4 linked regions of the Notamacropus eugenii genome follow. The protein of the gene in region 2 interacts with the protein of the main gene of each other region in a pairwise test. Links are inferred from orthologs where the notes say so. Each region holds a gene or a part of one and is shown on either strand. Other genes may lie near its edges. The genes, in order: BLK, STAT3, NFKBIZ and BMX.

The links.
Region 1: the proteins of STAT3 (region 2) and BLK interact in binary tests that used the Homo sapiens proteins (3 or more experiments, as listed by UniProt). The link is inferred for Notamacropus eugenii from reciprocal best matches to the Homo sapiens genes STAT3 and BLK.
Region 3: the proteins of STAT3 (region 2) and NFKBIZ interact in a two-hybrid assay, tested with the Homo sapiens proteins (2 studies listed by BioGRID and IntAct). The link is inferred for Notamacropus eugenii from reciprocal best matches to the Homo sapiens genes STAT3 and NFKBIZ.
Region 4: the proteins of STAT3 (region 2) and BMX interact in binary tests that used the Homo sapiens proteins (3 or more experiments, as listed by UniProt). The link is inferred for Notamacropus eugenii from reciprocal best matches to the Homo sapiens genes STAT3 and BMX.

Annotation. Positions count from the first base shown.
Region 1 is NC_092872.1:576,936,376-576,943,537, reverse strand, and holds the start of BLK (tyrosine-protein kinase Blk), read left to right. Parts: upstream 1-4,145; 5' UTR 4,146-4,496; intron 4,497-7,162. UniProt on the Homo sapiens protein: Non-receptor tyrosine kinase involved in B-lymphocyte development, differentiation and signaling. B-cell receptor (BCR) signaling requires a tight regulation of several protein tyrosine kinases and phosphatases, and associated coreceptors.
Region 2 is NC_092873.1:358,862,088-358,869,918, reverse strand, and holds the start of STAT3 (signal transducer and activator of transcription 3), read left to right. Parts: upstream 1-4,819; 5' UTR 4,820-5,111; intron 5,112-7,831. UniProt on the Homo sapiens protein: Signal transducer and transcription activator that mediates cellular responses to interleukins, KITLG/SCF, LEP and other growth factors. Once activated, recruits coactivators, such as NCOA1 or MED1, to the promoter region of the target gene.
Region 3 is NC_092876.1:368,225,724-368,233,728, reverse strand, and holds the start of NFKBIZ (NF-kappa-B inhibitor zeta), read left to right. Parts: upstream 1-4,993; 5' UTR 4,994-5,113; coding exon 5,114-5,417; intron 5,418-7,623; exon of another isoform or gene 7,624-7,759; intron 7,760-7,918; coding exon 7,919-8,005. UniProt on the Homo sapiens protein: Involved in regulation of NF-kappa-B transcription factor complexes. Inhibits NF-kappa-B activity without affecting its nuclear translocation upon stimulation.
Region 4 is NC_092876.1:374,584,386-374,591,548, reverse strand, and holds the start of BMX (cytoplasmic tyrosine-protein kinase BMX), read left to right. Parts: upstream 1-4,147; 5' UTR 4,148-4,243; coding exon 4,244-4,276; intron 4,277-7,163. UniProt on the Homo sapiens protein: Non-receptor tyrosine kinase that plays central but diverse modulatory roles in various signaling processes involved in the regulation of actin reorganization, cell migration, cell proliferation and survival, cell adhesion, and apoptosis.

The sequences.
Region 1 (7,162 bases), on a different chromosome or scaffold from region 2:
TAAGCCTAGAATTTTCTACTCCCCCACCTCCATCTTTTAACTTCTCTGGTTCTCTCAAAGTTCTCATCTCCAGTTCCATTAATTCAGCACACCTTTCCTTGTCTACTCAGCTATTAGCACCCACCTTTCTTAAATTACCTTCCAATACTCTATATACAACTTGTATGAATATAGTTAAACAGGCTCTTCCCCTTTTAGAAAGTAAGCTTCTTGAGGGCAGGGTCTATATTTGCTTTTCTTTGAATTCCTAGCACTTAATAAAGCCTAGTTCACAGTATACATTCAATACAAAACTCATTGACAGACTTAATGAAGAAGATTCTATTGGAGAAGGAGGTCAGAAGGAGAAGGGAAGAGAGAAAACTAAGTAAATGAGAGGTACAGGAACAAAGAGGAGAGAAAATTTGTCATCTGAGTTTGCCTATTTCCTATTAGTAATAATGTATAGAAACAATTCAAGTCTTGCCCCTAGAGCATACTGTCTGTAGCCTGTAGACACTTAACCTCTCTCAGCTGTATGTTGCCTGTTTGTATTAAAGGATTTTTTCCACTAGGATTTGTTGTCTACACCAAAGACACCATAGATCTGGGGGGAAAATGTGAGATATACACCTTCCCCAATTCAGCATTTGTGGCTTATCAACTATAGTTATACAATTCTTATTGGGTGTGATATATTTGAGATAGCTTTTCCTTTTGTGAATTTTCAGGATCCTAATCACCCACATGGGAAATTTTGTCTAAAATGAACAGTTTTCCAAATAAAAAAATCATGCAATTGAACTGCATCAATAAGACTTAAACTCCTGGGTCCAGCAATTAATTATGATATGTCACAATGTTTATGTTCTATTTTTCTGGGATGTAGGCCCAATGGAAATAACCATTTTACACTTTCCTATCTTTAGAACACTTCTTAGCTTCTGTATCCACCTTCAGAGTTCTCTCTGGGACATCAGGTCTCGAGCCCCCAACAATACATCTCTGTGCCAGACCATGCCAAATGACACATGAATTCAAAAGCAAAAGGCATTTAATTAAGCTGAATAGCAAAGGAATATAAACCAATGGCTATCACCTACTATGCCTTCAAGTGAACACTGGCCAACACCCTACATAAATCTTCTGTGTCTTTAAAACAGTGAGAAAGGAACATAGTTACTTGAAACTCATGGCACTGGTTTCCAAGTTTAGAGTATAAAAGCTTTCTGTCTAAATCAGCTTCTTTTTCAATCCCAGCAGGCAAAAGAGTGCTAATCTCTCAAGTCTGAATGAACACTGAAGCTTTACAGCTTTTGGAGCCACGATCCCAGTCCAAATGGGATGTTAGAGTTCAAGTTGCTGTGTTCAAATCCATATTAAGTTTTTTTTTTCCCATATGGCTGTCTTTTCATTTGCTCTAGTCTCTACTTCTATGAAGGAAAGAACCTTTGTTTCCTTTAAAGGAAAGCATTTATTAAATACCCGCTATGCATCAGGTACCATGTGAAATGATGAGGACACAAATACAGTCATCCCTTCCATGTCGTGATTTTCCCCATCATGGTTTTGATATATCGTGGGTCAGCATAAGAAACTAAATGGGAATTTTTTGGGAGTTTTGCAGAAGCCACAGACAACACATGAAAGTCAACAGATAACACTGAGGAAGTTTAGAAACTCAGAAATGCATAAAATATATGTATACTATTATGTAATATAGCCTTTAACCAAATACTTAACCCAAATCTCACAATAAGGTGCTGTAAACACCCCATAAATGAAAAAGAAAAAAAAATTCAGACTTCTTCTGAAGTCTGTAAGGGAGGGCCAAAAAATTTTATGTGGATTTTCCAGATTGTGGTGCCATGCTCTGAACCTCTAGGATGTAAAAGGGATAACTACAAGTAAAAAGAAAGACAATTCCTGCTCTCAAGGATCTTTTTCTCAGGAGTGATTTATCAGTCCCTTAACCTCTTTGGCTCTCAAATTCTTCATTTATAAAAAGAAGAGGTTAGGTTAGATCTCTTGGGTCTCTCTCATGTCTAAAAACAAATGATTCTAATTTCAGATTGTAGAGAGAATTGTGGGTGGGGTATTTGGTGATTAGGGTGGTTATACATCACTAGATAAAGCTACAATGGGGATGTGGTGGGTGTCAAGAGGATAGTCGAACAGAAAAGGTGAAGGCTGTACAAATAAAGGAGTTGGGTCTAGTTTCACATTCCATTATCTCCCAGGAAACTCCCCAATTTCTTACTGGGGAACCCCCACTCCCACCCTAAAAGATGTCATGGGAAGTGAGATGTGGTATCTAGGAGCGGAGTTGTTTCATTTTATGAAGTTAGATTCCACAAATTTGAAAAATCTTACTTATAAAGATATCTCTTGGTTCCTCAATCTGGGCTTCTTGATACTCAGAGTTGTCCCAAAGGGAAATGGGTGTTTGTAGAAGAAATGATCCTGTATATCTTTGCTGCTGCAATCTTCCTCATGGTTTGTACGTAAAGTAGGATACCATATGACATCTGTATTCTGAAGCAGCTAAGTGGCACAATGGATAGAGTGCTGGGCCTGGAGTCAGGAAGACCTGAATTCAAATCTGGCCTTAGGCGCTTGGTAGTTGTGTGACCTTGCATAAGTCACTTAGTCTTTTTTTTTTTTTACCTCAGTTTCCTCTACTGTAAAACAGGGATAATAATAGCACCTACTTTGCAGGGTTGTTGTGAAGACCAAATGGAATAATATTTGTAAAGTGCTTAACAAAGTGCTTGTCACATAGTAGATATTGTATAAATGCTTATGCCCTTCTCTTCCTCTCTAACATAATAATTTGATATTATATAGAGCCTTCCTGCATATTAACTGATCAGCAAGTATTTATTAAGTATATACCGTGTGTGTGTGTGTGTGCGCGTGTGTGCACGTGTATACACTAAGTATATACTGTGCAAGGCATTAAGGCTACACAGACAAAAGGGAAATATTCTCTGCCTTCAAGGAGCTTATATTCTAATGGGGGCAGGAATATATTCTTGTATAAGTATGCACAGATGATATAAAAATAAATAAAAGAAAATCTGAGGATGAAAGGCATTAGTAGTTTAGAGTAGGGAGTATAAGGAAAAATTTCTGTAGGAGGTGGCGCTTGAGCTGAGCTTTGAAGGAAATAAAAGAAGAGGGGTAACCTAAAAATAGGGCCCATAAGGAAAAGATAAAGGGACTGGAATTATTGACTTAGAGAAACAAAGGATGAAAAAATACCTAACAACTTTTAAAATATAAGATTTTTAATTGATCACTTAATGGAAATCATATCCATGTATGTTCATGTGTAGTATTATTATTGTTATTTCTAATATTAATGATAATGCAAGATAGAAAAAAATTGTTACCTCTTCTGTTGCATTGGGAACTCCTTGAATGGAATGGAATTGAGCTCATTTAAAATGAACTGAATTAGACAAAATGGGTTTAATCTTTAATGGTGAGAATTTAGCTAAGGCATAAAAAAGAACTTTGATTTTGAGCTCCTAAGTGTATCTGAGGTTTGGTGGTGGAGCGCATGCTGGTTTCTGTAACCCATCCAACACTGAGGAACAAGAAGCAACCTTCAGGAACCATCTCAACAGCAGCTGAAAAAAGGTACATCAGGCAGCAAGTTGTATTTGAATGGTACCATTGCTAGGTAGAAACTGTTATTTGGACCTCCTCTCTCTAGAGACTAGTGTCATAAAGGAGATTGTACCCCTGAAATGTTGAAATAGGGGAGAAATGTTTGTGCTTCTGTTGTTGCCATGTCTTCAAAGTAAATATCTCTTTGTAAAAGGACTTTTTCAGCCATCCAACTGGTTTAAAAAGGCTGACAATTCTCTGATCTGGGTTGACCATTACATAGAGTTTTGCCACAAGATTAAGCAGAGCCCATCAAAAACAAGCTATAGAATCAATCCCAAGAATTCTGCACTGTGGTTCCCCAATAACTGAGATGAAATTAGTCCTAGATGATGCCATCAAAGACTCAGGAAATGTCCACCTCACTATGCTGAAGTCCCATGAGGATGTTTTGATATCATGACACAAACTCGTTTGGGGTTTAAAAAATGACAATGCCTGGCATTTCCACCTCCTCATGAGAAAAGGGGCTTAGAGGGATTTTTAGTTCACTAAACTTCTTGTGAAACTAAGAAGTACTTTTAGCTGTGTGAGCCACGTGACTTCTGAAACCACTTTTTGTGCCTGGAAGGCTCAGCATAATAGTTCAACTGGAAGAGTCCCTGAGCCACTTCAACCCTGAATTTGCCCCTTGGGTATAGCTGGGCAAAGCTCTGATCCCAGAGTCTGTCGGTGAGGTAGGCAACCAAGAGGCAGCCTGAAATGAGACACATTTTTTTTCATGGACATGCGATTTCTTTAGGATTTAATTCAATCTACCAAGGACTGTTTCAGCCATAAGGGCTTCCTCCAAAAGGGTGACCATCAGGACTTAAAGGACTATGCTGTGAAACCTTGCCGAGGTAAAGACCTAAGTTGTTTGCTTTTCATTTTCAGCTGTATGCCTAACATTTAATTAATTGTGTTTATCATTATGACTTGATTTGGATGGTTTGCTCTGAGTTTTTTCAGTTTTTTTGGAGAGGTATTTGGGAAAATATTATGATTATTATGGATATTGAAAATTAAATAATGTAGTCACTACTGCTGCGGTCAATGGATTACAAATGATTGATTTTCTTTTTGTTTATTTGTTTGGGATTTTTTTAGGGAGGAGCCCAGATCTGTGATTTTCATCAATATAGGGAACTTCCAGCTTGGAAATTCCTTCCACTGATACAGACAAGCAAACTTATCTGTAATTTATAGTCTTAGCCGCCTAGGGCACTATGAAAATAACATGATTTGGCCAACATCATACAAGCGGTACGTGTTGGAAGCAGGACTTGACTCTGTTCTCTCTGACTCTATGGATGACCCTCTAGCAATTAAGCTTGGTAGTTTCATGATTTTTTTTTTAAACCTATCTCAGGTGGTTTTAAAAATCTGAGGGTAAGAAAATCTGAACAGTAAGAAACTGATTCCATCTATGGATAAAAATCTAGAGAATGAAGAAGTAGGAGATGTCTCTGCCAGAATTTCTTCTTTGAAAGTAAAGATCAATGGGGGGAAAAAGAAAAAAAATGTATATTTTGAAATTGCCTTTTGCTCCAATGCCTCATCTGCTACTTGGCTGTTTTCTCTTCTACTCTTTACTTAATTCTTTATATATACAACTAGATCGATTTGTTGGGAGTGGTTTTGTTATTGGGTTACCTCTTTTTGGAAGTTCTTTGTAGTTGTGAATAATTCCTTTCGGGGAGAATCTCAGGTCTAATGTCCAAAGAAGGTATTAATGGATAATCCTGGACCATGGGAGGTTCCAAGACTTCTACTTTTTAATGACTCTCCTTGGAATACTACTTTTGGGCCTTAGCCTGGTCTATGGTAACTTTAGAATATAACCAGGTACTATGTAACCCAGTGTTAAGCACTGGAACTATAAAGAAGGACAAAAAACAGTGCATAACTTCAGTAAGTACACATTTTAAAGGAGGAAACAACATAATTAGATGCATGCAAGATCTATACAGAATAGATGGAAGGTAATTTGAGACAGAAGGCACTAACAGCTAGGAGGACTGGGAAATGCCTTCTGCAGAAGATAGGATTTGCCTTGAGTCTTAAAGAAAGCCTGGGAAGCTAAGAAGGGAAAGTGAGGAGGGAGAGTAGTCCAGGCTTGAACAAGCCAATGGGCTTTCTCCCTCTGACAGCTGAGGTCTGATGTTAGCTTGGTGTCCAGGGCTTTGGACACTAACAAAGCTCATCATTAGCAGAAGTTATAACTGAAGCAAAGTGACTCACCCTTCAGAAAGATGAGTCAGGGCACTGGCTGGAATTAGAAGTCTCCGCCAAGCTCACATCGTATTGCTCAGTCACAAAAGTCAAACCGTAGGTTTAGGCAATGAAGGGTAAGGGCTTCTGTGAACCAGTTACTTCTGAGATAAGACTGGGCATGGAGGAAGTATGATACACATACTTGAAAGAGCAAACATCTGGTTGGGGTGATAACGTTAGACTGAGGAAGCTAAAAACCTGACCGAGAAGTGAAAGTCTACAGAGATTTCAAGCAGTTAGGGCCTGATTAGCATTAGCTGAAAATATGTTTGCTTAAGGGAAGAAGGATGGAGAAACCTGGGTGATTCCAGTGATTTCCAACCATCCCATCTAATTCCAGTGATTTCTGGAGCTCAAAAATACACTAGCCCTTGACCTCAGAATCCCAGGGGAAAAAAAAGGTGTGTCTCTGAGTTGATATTAAATATAGAATGTGATCGATCCCTTTCACTATCTCAGTTGCTTCCTGCTCATTTTTCCCATCTGTGTTAAGCAAACACACAGTCAGGAATAAAAATAGTACTGTGAAAACTCATAAAGAATAGGGAATTAGAAATGAAGCCATGCTAGAGGAATCAGATAAAGAAAACCCAAGCAAACTAATGCATGCATGAAAAAGCATGTACTAAGCTTCACTACATGCCAAGCTTTAATACAACTAGATGAAAATAGAAAATCAAGACATTCCCTCCCCACTCTCAACAACTGCACCTTCTAATTGAAAATGGAGGGGTCATCTATAAGGCAGATGGGAAGGCTCAATAGTAATGCTGTTTATGATTAGGGCAGATGGCAAAGCCTGATTACCCTTTAGGGCACAGTAACACGGCAGATGGAAATAAGAAACGTGTATTATTGTTGTTAATCAAAGTATTCCTAGTTCTGTGGATAAATGTGACTTGTTAATGATATACATGTGATTGCAGTGATCCATTATTTTTCTCTTTTCTAGACCCTTAAAAGTGGGGCTGTTTTTCCTCTGCAATTCTCTAATTTCTAAGGCTTCCCTCTACTAGTCAATCTTCACTGACCAGACCCTCTGCCTAATTCACTAGAGTCTCTTTCTAAACAGGGTCAACCTTTGGCAAAATTAGTAAGTAGCATAATTTTCTTGTGATGAAATCAAATATAATAACTTACATTAAGTGCTTTGCAAATCTTCAAATGATATCTAAATGCTAACTATTCTCATTATTTTCCTTTGGTACTTCCCCACCTCGTTTTTTGTAATCCTATCTCTTTAAGTGCTTCT
Region 2 (7,831 bases):
ATCTCAGGCAATTTCTCCCTCAGGGACACAGCCTGCCCTGGCAACAATCATTATCTCCCTTCTTGCTATAGTAATCAGTTGCAACTATAGAATTCATTACTTTGAACTAGCTGTGTACTGAACTCCCTGTATGCTGGGTCATAATGACATTTACTACTCACTGACCAATCATGTATTCTAGATTTAACCATACCTGTACTCCCTTACATTAATCTTGTCTAACAACATATTGATGAGGGAAGTCTGGTTTTTCCTGGTCAGCCCTGACTGTTTTTTGACTTAATGATGTTTCAGGCCTAAAACCATACCTCTAGGTAGCCCCTCCTTGGGCTATTTCCCCATGAATTTTGGGTAAAATACTTGCACAGTAGATACCAAAAGTGCATGTTCCTTTAAAAACTGATCACTCCTTAACCACTCCCTAATCCCACCCCAAAACACCTACTTGGCATATTTGGCAAAATGATACTACAGAATATCCTACATAAACTTTCCCTGTATCCCTTTAATGTTGCAGGTTCTGTAAGAATGCTTGCCTTCTGAAAAGCATAATAAATCTTTACCTTGACTTCAACAATGCTTGAGTTCGTGAATTCTTCTTCTAACGACCTGCCCCTGGTACCCTGGTCTTTGTGGGGGTCTCACACCCCCTTTCCAGCCCTCATCAGTTCTATGAGTTTTTATAATTTGAGGACTTTGCTTTGATTTCATTTAATTCTGGAGGGGAAGAGGATGAGCAAAATTCTATGTTGATTACATACATGTGGGTATATTTTTTTTTTTACAACTAAAAATAATGCTTAAAACACAAGAGACTCATAAGCTCGTGCTAATAAATGCTTAAATGTTGAATCAACCTGTGATCTACTATACTCTTCCAATAAATGTACTTTATGTATTGTTGAGGAGATATTTTACTTTCCCCCATGATCTGTGCTATGTAATTCACAAATCTGGATCTCCTGGCTACCCTGAATTGTTTTAGTCCTTTCAGCTGCAATATCCTTCTGGAGTTTTCTCCTGGCCATATCTTCTCTATGCAGCATTGAAGATGTGGGAAACACCTACCAATGGACAACCAGCAACTACTTTTCCCTTGAACTTCTGAAGCATCTGTATTTCCAGGCTTTCTTTTCAGTCACCTGTGCTCAAGTGACTGACAAAACAGAAGTATCCAGGGACTTGAAGTCTAGTCTCAGGCACACCTAAGGAAACCTGAATTATGACTGACTAGTGCTCATGGTGTAGAGGAACTTGTGGGGGTGGGGAGAGAGAAATTATCTCATTTCACTGATCCAAAGAAAAGATGACTGAATCCCAGTGCCACAAGCTCAAATGAGAAAGGCAGGGAATATGTGGAATTGTTCTCAGCTCCTCTAAAAGCACAAATAGGGTATGGCTCCTCCTGGATCAGTTGGCAATACTCTTTGTCATATTCTAGTTATGGAAACCAAGGAACCAGTCATTGTGACTGTGAAACACTTGTCCTTTAGCCAGGAGAGGAAGCACTTAACCATGATCAGGAGGGAACAACTTGGCCAACATTGTGTTCTAGTCCCCACTACCCCCTTACATTTACATTTCATTGAATTTAAGCTTCCTATTTGTTATCTCTTACTGTAAGAGACACATGTTCCTTCGTGACCATACATTTCTTGTATGATATCCCAATGATGTAAAGGATTTTGTTGGAAAGAAGTATAACCAGAAAAGAAGGTGTGTTGGTCATGTTGCAAGAGCCAAAGGTAGCCAACCAGCCAGCCTTCCTGCTCTTGTAGGTTTCCACACCATTTCTTCTTTTAAAATGTAAAAAACAAAAAATTCTCCCACTCTCCCCCATAGGGGGAAAACTTTCTCTTTTATGTAAATGTTAAGCATAGTCAAAACACATTTCTGAATGAATGGGGTGGGGGGGAGCATGTGCAAAGAGAGCATCATGCTAAGTGCCTGGAATACAAATGGTAAAGTAACAGTTCCTACACTCGAGGAGTTAACATTCTAATGTCTCTATTACTAAGGTTTAAAAATGTGTATGTTAGTCCCATCCCTGTTTTGTCAGGAGGTGGGTATGGCGCATTTTTCTTTTTTCTTTTTTTTTGAAATCAGGAAAGCTTTTATTAATCTTTATGTCCATTCCCCCTGAATGGACAGGTAGCTTCCCCAGTGAGGTTACAGGAAGACTACAACATGTCTAGGAAGATGGGTCTTCTTTTACTGTTTTGTGCACTTTGGATCTCCCGAGATACTGTCCCCTGGCCATGTGACTCCATGTTCTCCTCTCTGATAGGCCCTTCCTCACACAGCTCCTTGGGCCTGTGCATTAGTTTCTGACTTCTAACCTGTCCATGCTAGGTCACAACCCTTATCACCTAGGAATGTGAACAACAGAACTTTCTTACTTCCCATAAAATCCTCCCTCTTTCTTTATTAAAATTTCTATTTCCACACCTAAATTCAATCAATAAATACCTCCTCACATTCTTTCCTCTATGAATTTTTCCCTTCATCTATCCCCCTTTATATGAATATAGAAAGGGAGCAAAGTTGACCAATGCATTGACAAATTACAAGGGGGCAGTCCCCTTGTTATAAATACAGATACAGAGATTCAAAAGGAAAAGGTAGATCAATGAATTGTCCATTCGGAGGTTCCATCTCATACAGTCGTCTGGGGAGAAACATCATCTGATGCAGTTTTCTGGTCTGGGTGCTTCTTCAAGCAGTCTTCAGCACAGCATATCTGCATCTTCTTCCCATATCTTCTTGTAGAAATCCAGATGTTCACTCTCCTACAAAACTGACCTTGATACAATTTTAGATGACCATTCCTAAGCTTTATACACTTATCACTCCTACAAAATCAAAATTGGAACTTTGGCCAATTGTCATATTTAAGAAATCCACATCAGAACTAGCATTTACACCTTACATTAATTCATTATTCATTTTCTCCATCAGAAAGATGAGATTTCCCTAAGGAGTCAATAACAGGGTCCAATACTTAACATAAATACAATAAATAATCATTTTTAACACAGTACATATCACATCATAAAACAATTCCAACTTCTGGTCATGTGATGCTTCTTTTAAAGCATTTACCATATAGACCACAAACCATTTTTCTTTTAACATTAACCAACTGAGACAAAATAATAACTATGTATCCTAACCTTGACCTGATTGTCTCCACACTATTAATAAGAATTAAAGGACCCTAACTTATTGTTGTTGGTCTGAAGTCCTAAGCCTAGTAGCTTAATTTTTGACTTAACCTCAGATATTCCCCTACCAACAATCTATTATTTAATAGATCTGGTATTAAGCTTACAAAACTTTTGATTACAGGAAATTGCCACTAAGAGTAGGGACATTGCAGGGAAACGATATCTCCCCAACTTCATGTCAATGCCAGGCAGGAAGGAGTAGGTTGGGTATGGCACATTTTTCATTATCAGTCCTCTGGAATACCATTTAACCGTTGCTTTGAACAGCATTACTCAATTTGAGAGTTTTCAAGCTTGACATGTTGGGCAGATTTCCTATGGAGGATTTAATAGAAAACAAGGACCAAAGTTGAACAAAATGAGATGAAGAATGGATCCAGACCAGCATGGTTGGAGAGAGTACTACATCTCACAAGTACAGGCTGACCCACAAGTCTTGGTGTAGTTTTAATCCTTAAACTCTTGGGACACCTTACATGGTCCCTCTTATAGAAGGGGAAAAAACATTAATTATTGGCTGAAGTAGGTAGTTCTTTCTGTTGGGTGTAGTAGTTACATTGAGCCTAAGAAAGGTCAAGGTTACACTTTAACTCAGGCCTCCGGACTGTTTTCACTGAAAATTATCTGTGCCTTTGAGCACTAGCAAGTCTCTAAGACAGGTATCGGCTCCTCTATGTGTGGAAGCTCTTTTGGCAGACAATGCCAACAAGGATGGTTGAGCAAACACGTCAGAAGATGACATTAAATAATGTCATTCTAGTGCACAGGGCTCAACACCGACACTGGCTACTGTGTAGCGCTATCCAAGGTCAAGTGCAAAGCGGTCTGGGGTCTTCAGAAGACTGGACGGGGAAATCGGACTACCGAGTCTCTCTCCCTCGACTCGTTTTTATCCTTCTTGTATGTATGCGTCATGTCTTTCCTCATTTCCGTGAGTGGGGCTGAGGGTGTTGCTCGCATGCAATGCCCAGTGTCGCACAGCAGCCTGTAGGCGGACAAGGACTGTGCCACATGTTTCTCGTTCTCCCCAGCCCTGGGACTTGGCCCTTCCCGCTGGCACTGAGTGCCCCGAGGAGGGGTGGAGTGTGAGGGGGTCTGCTAGACGGCTCCATTCCCAAGTGGCTCCCTCGGTCTTTTCCACCCTCGTCTAGCACCTGGCAGTTCCAGAGGTCCGGGGTAGGGTGGGGGTGGGGTGAGGGGAGGAGGGAGCCGCACTAGGGGCATTTAAAGTGCCTTTGACGTCACGCCTTGCCAGGAACTCAGCTGAGTTTTCAGCAGTACATTCCCGTCATCTTCCCTCCCTCCCTCCGGGGCTTCCTCGGCCTTAGCCCTTGCTGTTCCTGCTGCTCCGGCGGGAGGGGCAGCGCCACCTAGGGAACAGCCCGCACGGGGGCGTCCCCCTCCATACGTCACTTATTCTGCATAATTTATCTGGTCGGTGTTTGCTCATTGGTTCTAGGGGCGGGGTTCCTGATGCATAATTAATCGACTCAGGACTCTGAGTGGCCGAGGCGGCTGGGGGCCTCATGAATTATGCTTTAGGGGCGGGTCTTGGCTGGCAGGGATCCTAGTGGCGATTGGTTGGGTGGCTTGTTACTCAGCCGTTTCCGGAGCAGCGGCGGTAGCGGCGAAGGAGGAGTGGGTTTCGACGTTAAACTGAGAAGGGTCCCCGGGAGCCCGAACCCCGGCCAGAAGACGTAACCCCCCCCACATCCGGGTCCCGCCGCCTCCAGCTCCGGGTCTCGGGTTACGGTTGAGCGGAGGCAGTTTAGGAGCCACCTCGCCGCCTGCACGGCCTGAAGGGACTAGGCACTTGGCCTGCATCTTGGGCCACTCCAGCAGCGGGGCCGCAGGGCCTGTCACAGGCCGCAGCTCCGGGACCAGGTGAGGGGCGGGGCGCCCGGAAAGGGAGAGAGGCCTCACTTTCTCCTTCCTTCCCCTCCACTGCTGTCCCCCCTGGGGAGACAGACCTTCCTCCCTCCCCCCCTTTCGTTACCCTCCGCCTACTCCTTCTGAGGGAGATAGTCCCCCCTCCTCCATTTCTCCTTCCCCACATCATCCCGGGGGTAGAGAGTGCTCCTCCCTCCTCCCCTCCTCTCTCTGTCTTCGCCTACTTCTGTTCCCCCTAGAGCGAATCCTCCCTTCTCTCCTCCTTCCTTCCCCTCCTGGGGAGATATTCCTCCCCCTTCCCTCCCCCTCTTCCCGTCACTCCCAGAGAGTCCTCCTTCTTCCCGTTCACCTTCCTCACATCATCCCTGGAGACAATACTCCTTTCCCCGATTCTCCTTCCCATCTCCCTCTTCCCTCTTGGAGTAGCCAGGCTTCCCCGGCATTCTCCCTTTAACATGCCCCCGTGGAGAGATCTCTGCGTCTTTTTCTCTAAGCAAAGTCAGGGCTTCCCCATTATTTGCCCTCCTCTTGGCCTCCAAGGAGAAAAAGCTTCCCCACCTGCCCCCAAAGAAAAACAGACTACCTTATCACTCTTCCTCCCAGAGGAGAGACCCCTTTCTTTGCAGTCAATCAAGAAACATTTATTAAGCACCTACTCTTTCCCAGACACTGTGCTAAGCCATTTTCTCCTTCAATAAAAGACTGTCAGTATTCTCTCCTTACCATTTCTTTTCATGGGAAAACAGTCCTACCTCCTCCCCTCTAATGAAAGAGTTTTTTTCCCCTACCCATCTTTCCTTTCTCCTCTTCTGTCATTCTTTAAGTGAAGACAATTCTTCTTCCCAGTGGCATTCTATCTTCCTTACCCTTCTCTTCAAGGGAGTTATCAGAGAAATGCCTGGGGAATCTAGAGTTGAGAGATGATTCCCATGGCTATATTCCTTGTTTCTGTTCTATATAGGCAATCATGTTGCCTTGGATCCAGGTGGGATTGAGGGATGATAGCCAGGGATGGTGGAAAGAATGCTTGATTTACAATCAGACATATAGGTAGGTGTTAATGGGAATTAGAACTAGATAGATCCAGAGAAATGATCTAGTCCATCTCTAGGATTTGACAGACATAGTAGCTGAAGACCAGAGATGTTAAATGCCTTCCCCAGTATCATATAGGTAATAAAGGTCAGTCAATATTTGACTTTAGGTGCCTTGGTTTTCTTGCCTTTAGAATAAAAGGCTCAGACTAAAGTGAGAAACTGGTGTGATGTAACAGAAAGAGGGCTGGACTTGGAGTTAGGAAAAACAGGCTCAAATCCTGGTTTTGAGACTTAGTATCTGTGTGACTAGAGTTAATCTTGGTTTCCTCATCCATAAAAATGTAGATAATACTTTTACTCCCCCTTTACAATCTGTAGTGAGGACAGTCCTTAGTGAATCTTAAAACATCATATAAATATTGCTCTGTCATTTCATCATCTCTAAGGCTCTAAATCTCATCCTACTTTTTGGTAAGAAAATATGAAATTATTGAGTTGCATGGACATTAATTTTCCTTTTGTGCTCTCCCCCCACTCCCCGTAATTGGGTAGACATAAATGGCTTTTCAGAGACTCTTCCTAAATTCCTCCCCATGTTTTTTGTCTGGTTATTAGCTAGATTTTATATACAAACAAATAGCTTCAGAGAAATGTAATACGTCCCTTAGGTGCTTTCCCTCTCCAATTTGTTGTTCATTTAAAAAAAAACCTGATAAAGGAGGACAGAAGATAAATAATTGAACCATTGCACTTATTGGATTGTGGTGTTGCTTAATTGTACAGGTCAGAGTGAAGTAATAACAAGTGGGAGTATTCTGTCTCAGGGCCAAGATCTTGGGTAAATGCAGAAGAAAAGGGAAACAAAGACTAGCAAGACCTCTTGGTGAAAACTTGTGCATAAACTTAAATGATATTTGATATGTGTGGCTTAAAATGGGGCACACTTTGCACAACTAAGCATTGCTCAGGTTGCCTTTAATGTCTGTTACTTGTTGTGTTAGCTCTATTGTTCTATTAAGTAGATATGTGGTTATAGATTTAGTCTGTCATTTTCCTTCCCCTCACTTATATAACATATTTAGGGTACTTCTTATCCTTTATGTATGCTGAGAAGTAATCGGTTGTCTTACCTGTAAAGAATATACACAATTCACGATTGGTCATTATCATGTGAATAATACAAAACTGAATGAACAAAAAGGCTTTTTCTGTGAGTGTTTAACCTGCTCATCAGTATTAAAGTTACTTCTCATTTCTTTAAGAGCCTCAGAGAGCTAGCATGCAGCCATATCAGAGTGTGCATCTTAAATATAATAATGGATTTCAAAACGGAAAACAAGAAGACAAAAAAGTCATCAAATTATAGGGGTAAGAGCTGAAAGGGACCTTAGAGAAGCTTTAGATAAACTTTCTTATTTTACACACAAGGAAACTGAGGTTCAGAGATATTAAATGGCTTGACCAAGGTCACGTAGGTAATCATGACCTAAATGTCATTGTGCTAGGGTGAGTTGTGGTCTGAGCTCTGGGGTCTCCTCACAGAATCTGTAATAGTAAATAGCAGACCTGGAATTGGAACCCAAGTCTTCTCTCTCTAGACCTAGTACTCTGTTCTGTTATAATTATAAATACCTCCTCAGGTATGTAGCTACTCAAACCTGCTGTTTACAGATTCGC
Region 3 (8,005 bases), on a different chromosome or scaffold from region 2:
ACATTCTTCTTTCTTTGTCTAATTCCACATATACCACAGTTTTGAGACATTACCTTTTTATAAGCTAACTAGAACTTTGGGAGGAAAATACCTTTTTTTCAGGGAGAGGAGGGGGAGAAGTTAATTTTGAATATCAAAAATATCTTTAATTATGAGTAAAGAGAAGATTTAGTGGGGATGTGACAGCTTTCTTTCTGTAGATGAAGGAGGAATAGATATATTGTCCTTGGTCCCAGAAGGGCAGAATTAGGAACAATAGATGCAAAGAGACAAATTTACATTTAATATAAAATTAATATAAATTTAATAAAAGTAATTTAATAAATAATAATTACAAATATCAATATATCATTATTATTCAAATAATCATATAATTAATTGAATAATGACTAATTGAATGAACGATTGAATAATACATGAATTAATAATAAATAATTAATTTAATTAAATATAAAATTTATATAAAATAACATAAAATTTGCTGACAATTAGAACTGCCTAACAGTGGAATGGGCCACCTCTTGGGGGACAGAAGGTTCCCTGTCACTAAAAGTCTTTGAGAAAAAGCCAGATAATCCCTTATAGAGTCTGTAGATGGGATTCATGTTCAGGAATAGGTTAGCCCAACTGACTGAGTTGGCCTATTATATTATATATAATGTGTTAATGGGAAAACAATTAAAAATGAAAGTATTATGTCTTATTTGGCTTCTTTATGGGCTTTTAATTTGTTTTGTTTCTTAGGCTAACAATATATAAATATAAAATATATGTTTGATGAATGCTATTGAAATTTATATTGAAGTCTACTATAGTAGCTTAATAAAATTATGCAATACTTTTTTTTTATATTTTGTATTTTACATGTATCTGATTCAGATTTTTACCAAATTGGACAAGAATTGGGGGTGGGGAAGTAGGAAGGAGTCATGAAAGCAATAAGATGAAGAACATGAGAAATGAGGAAATACTGGATGTCCCAAAAGTCTTAGTGCAATTAAATTATCCTATATTTACCCTACAAAAATTACATTCTGTTCTTTTAAGAGACACTTCCCATACAGTTACATAGAATGACAGCTTGAATGAGGGTCATTTGTAGCTCCAAGTTCTATGACATGGGGTTTTTCTCAGAATAATTTTGAGAAATTTGTGGTGCAAGTATTTTTATCCTCATTTTACAGATATGGAAACTACAGTGGGTGAAATAATTTCTTCATGCTAATACACTTAACTCATGTCAGAAATGGGACTCAAACCCAGGAATGTCTGATTTCAAGTCCAGTACTTTTTTTTTTTTTCAGGATGCTTCATAGTTTATAAATCATTGCTGTCACTTTATCATTATTTACTGGCTACTGACTCACCACTCTATTGAAGCTGCTTTTAATCACCTCTTAATGGCTATTATGATGGCCTCAGTCTTCTTGACCAACATATTATTGTGTTGTCTACTTCTGGACACTCTCCCTCCTCTTGGTTTCTGTGAGATTGTTCTCTCCTAGGCCTTATCCTACCTCTTGACACTTCTCCCCTGCTAACATTGCTGATTTATCTTCCACTCTCTAAATATAAAGATTTTATTTTCTTCCCAGTCCTGTTGTTTCTTTCTGGACTTGAAAACCTTGAGCCTTCTAATGCAGACTCATCCTGGAACCTCCTTGCCCTGAACCAAACTACAACTTCACCCTGGAATATTCATCCCCCACTGTAAAACCTGACCCATCTCTCCATTCCCCCTTTTCTCCCTTTGGTGAGTTCTTTCTGGAGTCTCCCATTTTGTGGAAGGGCCTAGGCCCAACTGCCTTCATTCCCCTCCCAGGCTTGCTCCTGACTTCCTGGCCTTCAAAACCATACCCTGCCCATGGTACTTTCATTTCCCTTCTATCTGATTTGTAAACTATTTGGCACAATGTCTGGCATACTGTTGGAGCTTAATAAATGCTTGTTCCTTCCCTCTTTCTTTTGTATGTTTCCTTCTGCTCATTAGAATGTAGTTCTTTGAGGGCATAGACTATCTTTCATTTTGCTATTGTATCCTCAGTGATTAGCCCAGTTCTTGACACAAGGTAAGTACTTAATAAATGCTTTTTTTGTCCCTTCCTCCCTCTAACCCTCTCTACTCTTCTTCCTTCCTTCCCTCCCCCCTTCCTTTCTCCCTTCTTTTCTTCCTTCCTTTCTCTCATTCTTCTTTTCTTCCTTCCTTCCTGCTTCTTTCCTTCTTTTTCTAAACATAAAGATTCCATAAGACTTGGACCTTACCTCTCTATGTGAAAGTTCTTAACCTGAGGTCTATGAACTTTTAAAAAAATATATTTTACTAACTATTTCAGCATAATAAGTTTTTATTATAATCCTATTCATTTTATTGTATGTGAATGTGATCCAACTCCCAAAGCCTGTTAATAAGGGAAGATCAGTGCCCTGTACCTATATGAAGGGTAGGGTGGAAGTAGGAGTTGGCATTGTCCATCTTCTCTCTTGAAGCTGGAAGCCTGAAGTTCTGGAAGCAACTAACAAGCCCAAAGAGAATCAAGAGACTCAAAGACACTGAAGAGACTCACTCTACTCTCTCCCACTCTTATCACCTCTACCTCCACCTTTACTTTCACACAGGTCCTTGGGCACTGATCTCCATCAGTGAAGAGAGAGTCCCAAACCAACAGACTTTGGGGACTTGGATTACTCATTTAAAACATTATTCCCAATTCCACCATGTTCATCCACTAAAACTCAGAGAACTTAGTTCTTCCCATGAATAAAGGATAGATAGCAAATGAGGACAAAACTCAAATGGTATTAAGATAAATAAATTAGTTAAAAGTCCCAAAAAACCAACACTTTTCTAAGAAGGGGTCCAGATACTTCGCCAGACTGCCAAAGGGGTCCACAACCCAAAAAAGTTTCAGGACCCCTGCTCTCTATATTCTCATTTTTCTCTCTGCCTTTCTATACCTGTCTCCTTGTCTGTCTCTCCCTCTGTCTGCTCATCTCTTTCTTTCTGCTTCTCTCTCCCTTGTTAATCTCATCATCTCCTAAGACTCCAAAGATTACTTCTGTGAAGATGGTTCCCATCCAGCCTCAAACTTTCTCATTCCAATCCAGTAAACATTTACTGAGTGCCTACTATTTTCTAGATACTGTGTTGCTCAGTGGGGACACAAAGACAAATAGAAAAAAATTATCACTTCCCTTTAGGAATTTATAATCTGAATTTCCACATGGCTGCTGGGCAGCTCTACCAGTATGTTCTTCTGGTACCTCAAGTTTAGTAGGTCTAAAATTGAACCCCTCCCCCTAACCTGTTCATCCAGGATCAAAACTTTTAACTTTTCTTTTCCACCTCCCTCCCTCAAATGAGATATTTGTAAAGTGCTTAACACAGTGCCTGACACATACGAGGTGCGATAAAAATGCTTATTCCATTGCCTTTCCCTTCATCTTGTCAGTAGCTGAATCCTGTTGATTCTATTTTCACATCTTTCCTCTTCTTTTTTATTCAGACCACCATCTCCTTAGTGTAGGCTCTCATCACCTCTGACCTTGACTATTGTACTAGACATTGAGGCCATGCCATGCCCCCTACCCCCCAAAACAAAAATAAAAAATACAACTGATCTTTCTAGGATCAACCTTCTTTCCAGGCTTTATTCCAAATTGTTCTTTCCTTTAATCACTGTACATCACAACCAGCTTCTACGGGTCTCTTCCTCATTGGGTCCCCCTTTTTCCCTCCATGCATTCCTGCAGACTGTCTCTAATGGCCTGAGGACTCTACCTCTTCACTGTCAGGTACTGAAATTTTTTCTTCTTTTCACTATTGCCCAGTTCAGGTACCATATTCTCCATGAGTCTTTTCTGGTCTCTCCAGGAATTGTCCCTTGTCTTTGCCACACTATACCTATACTGGATGGACTTGTGTAGGTGTCTTGGTAGGTTAATTCCTCAAAAGTAAGGACTTTGTTACGGCCTAGCCATCAATCGAAGGAAAAAAGCATTTATTAAGCTCTTGAGGGTGCCTGACCCAGGGCTGAGCATGAAGTCAAACAACAGTCCTTGCTCCCAAGAAACTCACTTTCTAATGGGAGAGTCAGCAAGTAAATAACGAGGTAAATACGAGATTTGTGGAGTAGTTGGTAGATAATCTCTGTAAGGAAGGGCCAAGCCCAGGGTGGCATAAGGGTAGGGAGCTTGCGAGGTCTGCAGGGAGGAAGGCCTTAGTCTCGGGTGGGGGCCTGGGAAAATGAGTCCCGTGGCAGGTGGGATTTGATCTGAGACTTGGAGGAAATCTCTAAAACTAAGAGGCAGAGGGGAGGGAGGAGGGACCAGCACGTTCCGAGCCTGGCCAAAGGAAACGGAGTGCCTGGCACAGGGCAGGAGCTCAGGGAGTGCCCAGGAATGGCGGAGGGCAGGGTCTGATTCGCGGGGCCAGCTGTTCCGAGCACTCGGCTTCCCCTCTCCCAGGGCCGCCGGGCTGCAGGAGGGAAAATCGGGCCGCTCTTCTGTAAACGGCTCTGCCCAGTTCCCGCTTTGGGACTTGGTGCCAAGTTCGAGGAGGGGGGCGCATTTGGAGCCTAGGGAAGGGACCGAAGAGTGGGGGAGGGGGCGAGGGGTGGAGAGCGGGTGCGCGGGACGCCCGGAGCCAGGTGGAGGTCAAAGTCAAGGTCGGCTGGGAGCTGGAAACCGACCTAGGCCAGGAGGAGCCCGGCTGGGCGAGGCCCCGACGGGGCGGGGGAAGGGAGGGACGAGGGCGGAGGGGAGCATTGCCTCATCCTGTACATTTTACTGGAAACCTGCTGTGCATCCGGAGGAGGAGCCGCCGGGCTGTCGTCCTGCCGCGGCCGCCCAATAGGCAGGCTCTTGTGCGCGCGCGGGCTGCCCCTCACCCCCTTCCCCGGCCCCCGCCCGCCTATAAACCGGGGACTTGTTGGCCGCGCCCAGCCGAGCTGAATTCGTCTAGGTGGGTGCGCCGGGGCTGATTTGAGCGTGGACCCTGCCAGCGACCAGCGCAGCCCGAGTCCGTGTCCCTCGTCCCACTGGTGCGGGGAGCAGTGCGTGGGAGAGTGGTTAGTGGGGGGGCGCAGCCGGAGCGACTCGTGGTCTGCCCGCGAGCATGATCGTGGACAAGCTCCAGGAGGACAGCCGGGGCGGGGAAGGCCTGCTGGACTGCGCGGCCGGCGAGGGGGGCCTCATGACCAGCCCCCTCAACCTGGCCTATTTCTACGGGGGGTCGCCCCCGTCCGCGGCCGTGGGGGCGAGCGATGCCAGCTTCTTGTCCTCCAGCCACTCGACGCCGGGCTCCCCCGGCTCGGACTCCTCCGATTTTTCCTCCTCTTCTTCGGTCTCCTCGGCTTCCTCCTTAAGCGCCCCCGGAGAGCCCCGGGCCAGAGGGGGCCCCCGCGCGGACCGTGTGCCAGGTAGCCGGTGGCCCCTCGCGCGTGACTTTGGGGTGCGGGGCGTTCCGCGGGCACGGGTTGCTCGAGAGCGAGGGGAGGCGGAGGGGGTGGTGGAGCAGTGTACTTGGCGTCAACTTTAGCGATCCGTAATGGTTTAGCTTCCGCTGACTTCGGGGGAGACCGAGGACGTGAGTGGCCGTTTTCTTTGGGGGAGGGATCAGAAATTCTGCTGGAGTGATTGGTGTCTGTGAGGGTCTTTTGTTCTAATTGTCATAAAAACATCCAAGTGCAACGTTAGGAAACCGTGAAGAACGAAATTATGAAGGAGTGTGCAGTGATTCACACTACATTTGTGGCGTAATTATGGCAAATCGGAGGCATTCTTTCCTGAAGAATTATGTCCTGACTTAGCAGTGATTTAAGCAGTTCTGTTTCTCTTAATCACGGGTCAGATAAAGAGCAGGTTTCCCCCTACCCGACAGACTCATCGGAATAAGCCAGTCCAGCTTTCCCTTTGTTTGCTTAGTGCAGCTGGTTGGGTTTTTGTTTGTGTTTTTTGTTTTTGAGGAGGGAGGCCAGGAGGAGGTGGCAATTATGCCTTCTAGGAGAATTAAAGATGTCATATCAGTCTTAGTGTTTGTAATCCTTTTAAAAAATGGCTGGTCAGTTTCTTACAAACTTGTTTGGGGCGTTTTCTCACTCCCAGCCTTCCCTCCCCGACTGGTTGGCTTTATCATTTTTTTGAATGTGCCAAATTTTTCACCTGGAAGTCTTGTTTTTAAAACCATTCATTGGACTTTTATTATGGCTACTCAATAAATGTCAACTAGTGAGATCGTATAGTTTTTAAATCGGAAGAGAATCCTGGAGATTATCTAGTCCAGTGCCCTCATTGTACAGATGAGTAAACTGAGGTTCACTGGAATGTGGAAAGGCCAGTGTCCAAATTGGGATATCTAGTGCATAGGAGGAGTGACTCTTTGGGTTATGGAATTTAGGGTCTTTTTCTTGACTGTGTCTGGGTCAAGCCATTTGGCTAGTTTGCTTTTTCAGTTATTTTTTCTTTCCATTTTTGGCTACTGTCATGCCTTGGTGTGCCTTAGTCTATACAACTTTTCATATCAGATTTTGTGTGTAAAACTTTTTGTGGCATTTCAAAGCTTAACAGAGCAATTTATGAACTTCATTTACCCCCTTCCAATCCTCTCTTCTTTCCTTCCTTTCCCCTCTCCCTTCTTCAAATCAAGGGCCTAAAACATTCCACTTCCTGGCTTTTTTGGCTTGTTTATTTAATGAACAACAGATCTAAGAGGTTACGACACAAGTGGTCATAAGTGGAACGCTGAACTCATCTTCTCTGTTTCTAACATTGTCAAGTTTTGGCTCAAGTTCCAAAACAACAGCTTATTTCCTTTTTACTAGGAAGACCAGGAGATGATTCTGAAAATTTTTTTAAGTGGGGAAATCCTCAAAGGTGTTTTAAAAAAAAATATTAGTTCACAAAACTAAAGTTTTTGTAAATTGAGATTACTGGAAAAAGTTGATTTTTGCCTTGTAGGGTGGAAATACCAGACCTTTTAATCTCTAGAAGAATATAAACCCTTTGTTTAAAGAATCCATGGAGAATTAACTAATAAAATTGCTTAATCCTTATAGCAAGCTCATGTGGTAAGGGGATAACCAACTTTATTCCTGTTTTATAGAGTTAGCAGATAGACACAATGTACTTTTTCTCAGACAACTTAGATCTGGTGTTGTCACCACCCTTTTTTGTGAAGAAAGAACAATTTTAAAAATTTCCTCAAAATTTTGAGATTATGTGTGTGTTTGGGGGTGATGTGTGGTGGTTTAGAGTCAGGGGCTAACAATAATAATAGCTGTATTTACAAAAAGCTTTTTAAGTATTGAAGTATGTATATAGATGTGTGTGTATATACATCCATATGCGTACACTCTGTGTGTGTGTGTGTGTGTGTGTGTGTGTGTGTGTGTGTGTAAGTAAGTGTGTAAATAAATGCTCATTTCATCTCTATAAGAACCTTGTGAGGTAGACAACTGTTACTATCTCCATTTTATGGATGAGGAGACTGATTGGCTTAGGATTTTAGTGGACTTTGCCCACGGTCACATAACTAGTAAGTATTTGCTGCCTGTGGAGTCCTTGGGAAGTCAGGGGACATTTTCAGAGAAGGGCTTCACGGCAATCGCTTCAAGACAAATCAGTAGGTAGGCCCTGAATCCAGACCAATGGTTTGCTGTAGCTGTTGGTTTCAAACAGGAGCCCAGAAGAATGTCTCCCAATGGTCTGTTGCCTTTTCTAAATTCCTAATGGGGAATGGCTAATTCAGTTGGAAGAGACAAATATCCTCTCCCCCCCTCCCCCAAAAAAATGAAAGAAAAGAAAAGGTATACCAGTAGGTATTGCTCCCCATTAGACATTATTTGATAATAATCTTGGAGGGCATTTAGATTTGTGTTTTTTAAGTTGTATAAACTCAAATATAGTTTCTTTATTTCATAAGCAGGTGACCACCATATGGCTGGTGGAAGGCAACAGAGAGGACCCTTTCAAGGTGTTCGTGTGAGAAATTCAGTGAAGGAACTCTTGT
Region 4 (7,163 bases), on a different chromosome or scaffold from region 2:
GCTGTTTTCATAAACACTTCTAGGGACCTGTACATTTTCACCTCTTCCAAGGTGATATGATCAAAGGAGAGGTGTTTATTCCTCTCCTGGCCTGTTTTCTGGTCTGTGAGTGACCTCAAGCATTCTTTTCTGCCTTGGAACTGTGAGGAGGATTCTCTCTCCACTGCCACCACAAGCTCCACCATACAAGCACTTCTCCTCACCCCAGGACTGCCCCTCAGGACTATGACCCAGATCCAGGCATGGGCAAAGCAAGAGAATCCTGCCTCAGCACAAGCAAAGAGATTCCTGCAATTCTGCTCTGATCAGTTGCTCTATCCCCCCACCATCTGTGGGCCAAGAATTGTGGATGCAGCCATTGCTGCTGCTGCTGCAGACCACCACCACCTTGTGTGGTGGGCCAGATTGCATTCCTCTTTCTCCCAGCTCTGATAGATTTCTCCTACTGACTTTCTAAGTTGTCTTTGGTGTTTTTGGGTTGAGAAGTCTGGAAACTGCCACAGCTGCAAGTGATTCAGTGTCCTAAGCCCTGTTCTGGTCTTGTCTGGGTCGCATAGCTCATGCTAGACTGTATTCTTCTCTCAGATTGGTGCAACAGACCTTTCGTTTTGACCTTCCAGGTTGTCATGGACTGGAAATTTGTTTCTCTCTGTGATTTTATGGGTTCTGCTGCTCTGGAATTTATTTAGAGTCATTTTTACAGGTCTTTGGAGGAGTCTGGGGGAGAGCTCAAGCAAGTCCCTGCTTTTACTCCACCATCTTGACTCTACCCCCAAAATAGCTTTCTTCTTTATTCTTTGTGACAAGAGATGGTTTGCAAGGTAGAGTGTCAGAAACAATATATTTTGAAATAAAGATGAGGCAAAAATAAGTGGTATTAATAAAACACTAAAAAATAAAGATAACTTCAGTACAACACAATACAATATTGTAGTACAGTGGTTAGAGTGCCAGTACTGGCACCAGAAGTCTTGAGTTTGAATCTGGCCTCAGACATTGAGCTGTGTAACTGGGCAAGTCACTTAACCTCTGTCTACCTTAGTTTTCCCATCTGTAAAGCAAGAATCATAATTTATCTGCCTTGCAGGCTCGTTGCTAGGATCAAATGAGATAATAATTGCAAAATGTTTAGCACAGTGCCTGCCACAGAGTAAGTGCTATATAAAGGCTACCTGCTATTATTATTGTTGTTGTTAATAGATGGGTAAAATTCCTACTCATTCTTAAAGTCTTTTTTTTTTTCAGTTGTCTCTGACTCTTTGTGAACCTCATTTGGGTTTTCCTTGGCAAGGATACTTGAGTAATTTGTCATTTCCTTCTCCAGTTCATTTTCCAGATGAGGAACTGAGGCAAACAGGGTTAAGTGACTTGCCAGGGGTCACACTGCTAGTAAGTGTCTGAGGCCAGATTTGAACTCAGGAAGAGGAATTTTCCTAAATCTAGGTCCAGTGCCCTATACACTGTGCCACGTAGCTGCCTACTCTTTTTTTTTAAATTTAGTATTTTATTTTTCCCCAGTTACATGTAAAAACAATTTTTAACTTTTGTTATTAAAACAAATTATCTCCCTTCCTCCCTTGCCCCCCATTGAAAAGGCAAGTAGATCTAAGTTATACATGTGTAGTCATGCAAATCATACTCATAATAGTCATATTGTGAAAGAAAACATAGACAAAAAAACTCAAGAAAAATAAAGCTAAAAAAGTATTCTTCAGTCTGTATTCAGACATTATCAGTTCTTTATCTAGGGGTAGATAGCGTTCTTCATCCTAAGTCTTTCAGACATGTCTTGGATTGCTGGATTGCTGAGAATAGCTAAGCCACTCACAGTTGATCATTTCACAATATTGCTGTTACTTTGTACAGAGTACATTTCACTTTGTATCAGCCATTCCAGTCGTTCTAGGCTTTTTGGAGAGCATCTTACTCATCATGTCTTATAGTACAATAGTATTCCATCATAATCACATACCACAACTTGTTCAGCCATTCCCTAATTGACGGGTATCCCCTCAGGTTCTACTTCTTAGCTGCCCTACTCTTGAAAGACTGCTTCAAATGTCATTTCACTTATGAGAGCCTTACTGATCCTCTCTGAACAGTAATGACTCGCTTCCCCACAGCACTCCCCACCCAGTCAAAGACGTGACTTGGGTTTAGACCTATAAGGCACCGTAGAGATTGGTTAGTCTAAACCCCTGGTTTTACAACTGAGAACACAGAAGTTACATGACTTGCCCAAAGTCACACAGGTAGTAAGTAGCAATCCAGGATTCCACTGACTCCAAATCTGGGGCTCTTGCCACTATACCAATTATATATGATGTAATATTTGGTAAATACATATTTATAAATTTTACATATATATAAATTACATATATAGAGGAAAATATTACATATATAAAAATATTACATATATATTTACTAGAAAAGGTAATGCTGCTTACCATCTAGAAGGTAGATATGACGTATATATGTATATATATATACACACACACACATAAATGTATGCTATATAAATACGTTATAGAAACAAACATAAGCAATGTGTATATGCTGTATAAATAAATATAGATATATGTACGTGTATACATGTATGTAAGCACTTACACATGCATATTGTATATTATCCCACCACACATAAACATTTATATATATTATACGCATTTATATATTATATATACATGTATGTCATATCTGTGTTCTAGATGTTAAGCAGCAGCTTTGCCTTTTCTAAATTTTCTTTCTCCTCCAGCACCAAGCACAGTTTAGTGCTTGATATATTCGTGTGGATTCTAATTGAATCAAATTATCCCAAATATGGATTGGAATCTAGAGTTGAGTCAACAGTGACATTTGGAACTTTTGCCTCCCAATGTAGTTCTGAAGCTACACTCTAGACTTGTTGGAATGAAAAGGATTAAGTAACTAGCCATTTAAAATAGTGTTACAACATGTGCCAAATGAATGATTTCTTTCCTTGGCTGCTCCCCCCTGTGCCCAAAAGGTGTTATGAGTAGTATCAGTGTGAGTGTTTTTACTTACGTCACCAAAACATTAGATTCTAAGACAACTATAGGCTGCATGATAATTACAGTGGTGAGAGATCTGACTTCTAAGTGACAACAACCTGGCTTCAAGACCCATCTGTTACAGGCACTGACTATGTGATTCTGAGCAAGTAACTCAGAGCCGCAGACAACTCCCTAAGACTATAAGTTACAGAGACTGTTTAGTAGAGGAAGTTCCTACACTGATGACATTACAGCTCTAGTCAGAAAACAAACTCGAAAAGAAATTATAAGATGAGCAAAGAAAAGTTGTAACAATGACATGATTCCATGATAAGAATGGTATGGTTACATGTTCCCCCAACCATTCATGGATATGCCCTATAATGTTGGTATACAACAAAAAACTAGAGAAAGGTATGTCCCCAGTTGTATTACTCAGTGCTCCAAACTATAGAAATATATTCCTTATGTGGGCAGCTAAGTGGCATAGTGGATAGAGTGCTGAGCCTGGTCAGGAAGACTCATCTTTCTGAGTTCCAATCTGACCTCAGACACTTCCTGGCTGTATGACCCTGGGCAAGTCACTTAACCCTATTTGCCACAGTTTCTTCATCTGTAAAATGATATCAAAAAATATCAAACCATTCCAGTACCTTTGCCAAGAAAACCACAAATAGGGTTATGAAAAGTGGAACACCACTGAAAACAACTGAACTGAATAACAACAAATGTCTTTAATCTGTCTACTCTACTTTATCTGTCCAAGTCTTGAGTTAACACTTACTGCTTATTCTCTGAGCTCTTTGGTCTTACCTAACTGCTTCCTGACTTGTATGTCAATGTCAGAAAGGGAGTTTTTGCCTAGATATTTTATTGTTCTTTTCATAAAAATGCTACATAAACAAAGGCAAGGCTGTTGAACTTTATTCAGTCATTCTACTCCCTCCCCAAACAGCCCTGTTACCTCTCTAAATTTAAATCTTTATAAAATGTGCTTTTACTTCTATTTTTGTTGAGTTCAATCAAATCAGCAAGCATTGGCCAAGTGTTGAGTGTGGTTTCCTGTAGGATTGTGTAAAGTCCTGCAGAACAATATTCACTTGGGGTGACTGAGTAATGTGGTTATTTCAGGCCTCCCAGTCAAAGAAACATGAGGAAGCCAGCTGGGACACGACAAAGGTGATCACTGCTTGTTTTCTTTCAACAATTATTGGATTATTCTGATTGGAATGGATTCCAATAAAATGGAGCCATCAGAAATGGTATGTAGCAGAGGTTGGTGGCAATGAAGTGTCTTTTATACAGGAACTTGGTAGAGTTCAAATTCTGGCTCAAGAGAGAGGTCAGCTGATGCTTGTACTGGCCTGAATTAAGTTTAGTGATAAATAAGTTTGGGATTTGCATTCTCTTTTCTGTTTTGTTCTGCTGGTTGTTTTTATTTTCTTTCTCAAACATACACCTTCTAACAGCTTCTGAAAGAAAAATGTCTCCTTATTTTCCCAGTGCTTTTTGTTAGATTGCTAACTTCTATAAATTGGTGAGTGTTTTCTTTTCTTTTTTTTAATACTGACTTTCTCTGTATGTGTGTGGTTTGTTATTTGATTTGTTTAGGGATTTTTTTTCCTAACGTTTGTTTTTAGTGGGGAGGAGAAAGAGAAAGAGGACAGTGGTTATGAAAATGAACCAGTCACGTGGCACGGTACAGAGGAAAATCATTGACTCTGAAATCAGGAAAATTGGTTCTGAATCATTCCTTGGAATTTCTTTCCCTTCCAGGCCTCTGTTTAAAATTGGGGAACTTAAAGTTCTCCAATATTACTTACCCATTTATAGAATTTATGAAGCGAAAGCAGCTCTGTGACCAAATAGATATTGTTTTTTCCTCATTGGATGTCTCTAACTAGTGATAAAAATATTGCGTTCTTAAAGCATTGGCTTAGCTATGACTTGACTGTTCAAGAGGCTTTAGTGGTTCCTCACTGCCAACAAGAGCAAATACATGCTACCGTATTTGACATTTAAATCCCTTCAAATCTGATATTCCTAGGAAGTACAAGGAATTAAATTAAAGAAGGGATTTTCATGTTGTTGTGTGTAAACTTTGTAACATAAAATAAAACATGTAGGATAGCAAAACCAATTACATAACTGATTTCAGTCAGCAAAAGATTTATATTTTTAAAAACAAAATGGCAGACCCCAGGTGAAGAACCTTTGAAATTAAAGGCATTCATCCTGAGGTATTAAGTGGATCACCATCTTCTACTTTTCTCCTTGACAAGGAAGACCAAAAGTAAAATCCCTTGATATTTGGGGGGGAAGAAAAGGGAGCAGGAGAGGACAGTGGTTTTAAAAGAAGGAAAAGTCTCAAAAGGGGAAGTAAAGTTGCTGAACAGGAACTTCAAGTACATCCCAATTTTGCCCAGGCCCACTCTAATTACTATAAGAAAGGAATTGGGTTTTGCCTTTTATATAAGAAAACAGATCTCCAAAGTAGTTGGTTCTCTAATAATAATAGCTAGAATTTGTATAATTCTTTAAGGTTTGCAAAGCCTTATTCATACACTGGATTTTCACCACCTATCTATCAGATTTATCCATCTGATTTATCTATCTTTTATCTCTCTGATCTATCTGTCCATCTGATTTTATCCTTGTAACAATCATGTGAAGGTCATCTCCATTTTTCAGCTGAGGAAACTGAGGCAAACAAGTGATGTGTCCAGGGTCACACAGCTATTAGATATCTAAGTTTGAATTTGAGCTCAGGGCTTCCTGACTCCAAGTCTAGCCCTCTTACCCCTTGTACCACCTACCTACCTCAATAAGTTGATAAGCAGAGAGTTAATTCGGGGCCAGTTGTATCAAGTAGCAGGAGGTTGGGCTGAAAAGTTAATATCTGTCAATATCTCATTTTCTTACTCCCAGTGCCTCTGTGATCTCATCTATGGGGGTGCTTCCCACATCAGAGTGCATTCACATCTGTTCCTCCTATCCCCTTCTTGTACTTAGTCTCCTATGGATTCTACAGAATATATTCTGCCACCAAGCTGGAAGACTTGTTTTATCTAATGGTTTCTGGGTACCAGTTCAGTACTAGGACTGCCTATCTGTTGTCCTTTCTGATTGCTGCTGACTTTTTCAGTTTTATGCTTTACAAATGATGATTCTTGGACCATTTCTTATGGATAGGTTATTTCAGGAAATCGGTCTTTGACTACGTATGTTCCCCTGAACCCTCCCCCACAATGGTCTGAATCTTCCTTTGTGTCACCTGCATTGATGGGGTGAGGAGGGGGGTAGAGGAAACACCACATGTTTTCCTCAAGGCTGTCCAGTTACCTTTCTTTTTTTAAATTTTATTTTAGACTCAAATACCAGAACAAAAATATAGAATAGAGAAAAGAAACAAAAATATATCATAAACTTAAATATTGGAACTTAAACACAAAGTAAGAAAGGAGAGGAAAAACATGTCATCTACATAGCAGCACATAAGAGAGGATTCAAAATATGTGACAGTAATGCTTCCATTTATTCAATTCTGGCACCAGGCTATTGTCCATCTGCCGCACATTACATAAACACTTCTGTTATCTACATCTTTAGTACAATGTAGGCATTATGTCATTATCATGCCGAGCACAATTGTCGCTTTTCTCTCTAGTACCTGATAGCATCCAATAATAGAATGCAGTTAGGGAGGAAAAACATTAAGAATGCTTGCGACAGCTTCTTTGTAAAAAATAATAATAGTGTTTATTTATAGAATGCTTTAAGGTTTGCAAAGCACTTTACAATGATTATCTTATTTGATCCTTACAACCCTGAGAGGTGGGTGCTATTATTATCCCTATTTAAGAGGAATCTGAGGCGCATAGATTTCAGCTAGTAGGTGTCTGAGGTTATATTTGAATTCAGAACTTCTTCCTTACCGACGTGTTGTCTTCACTGAGTGGTCTGAAAGACAAGTATAATTTAGAGGAGAGGAGCTCTGAATTTAGAACAAAAGCCATAGCTAGCTATGGCTTTGCACCAGGGTGTTGAATTTAAAGGGTCCTGACATTCCTTGCATGCCTTCAGAAGCTAGAAAAACTGAAGTTAGCACCAACTTACCAAGAATAATTAATTAATATAGGAAACTGCTTC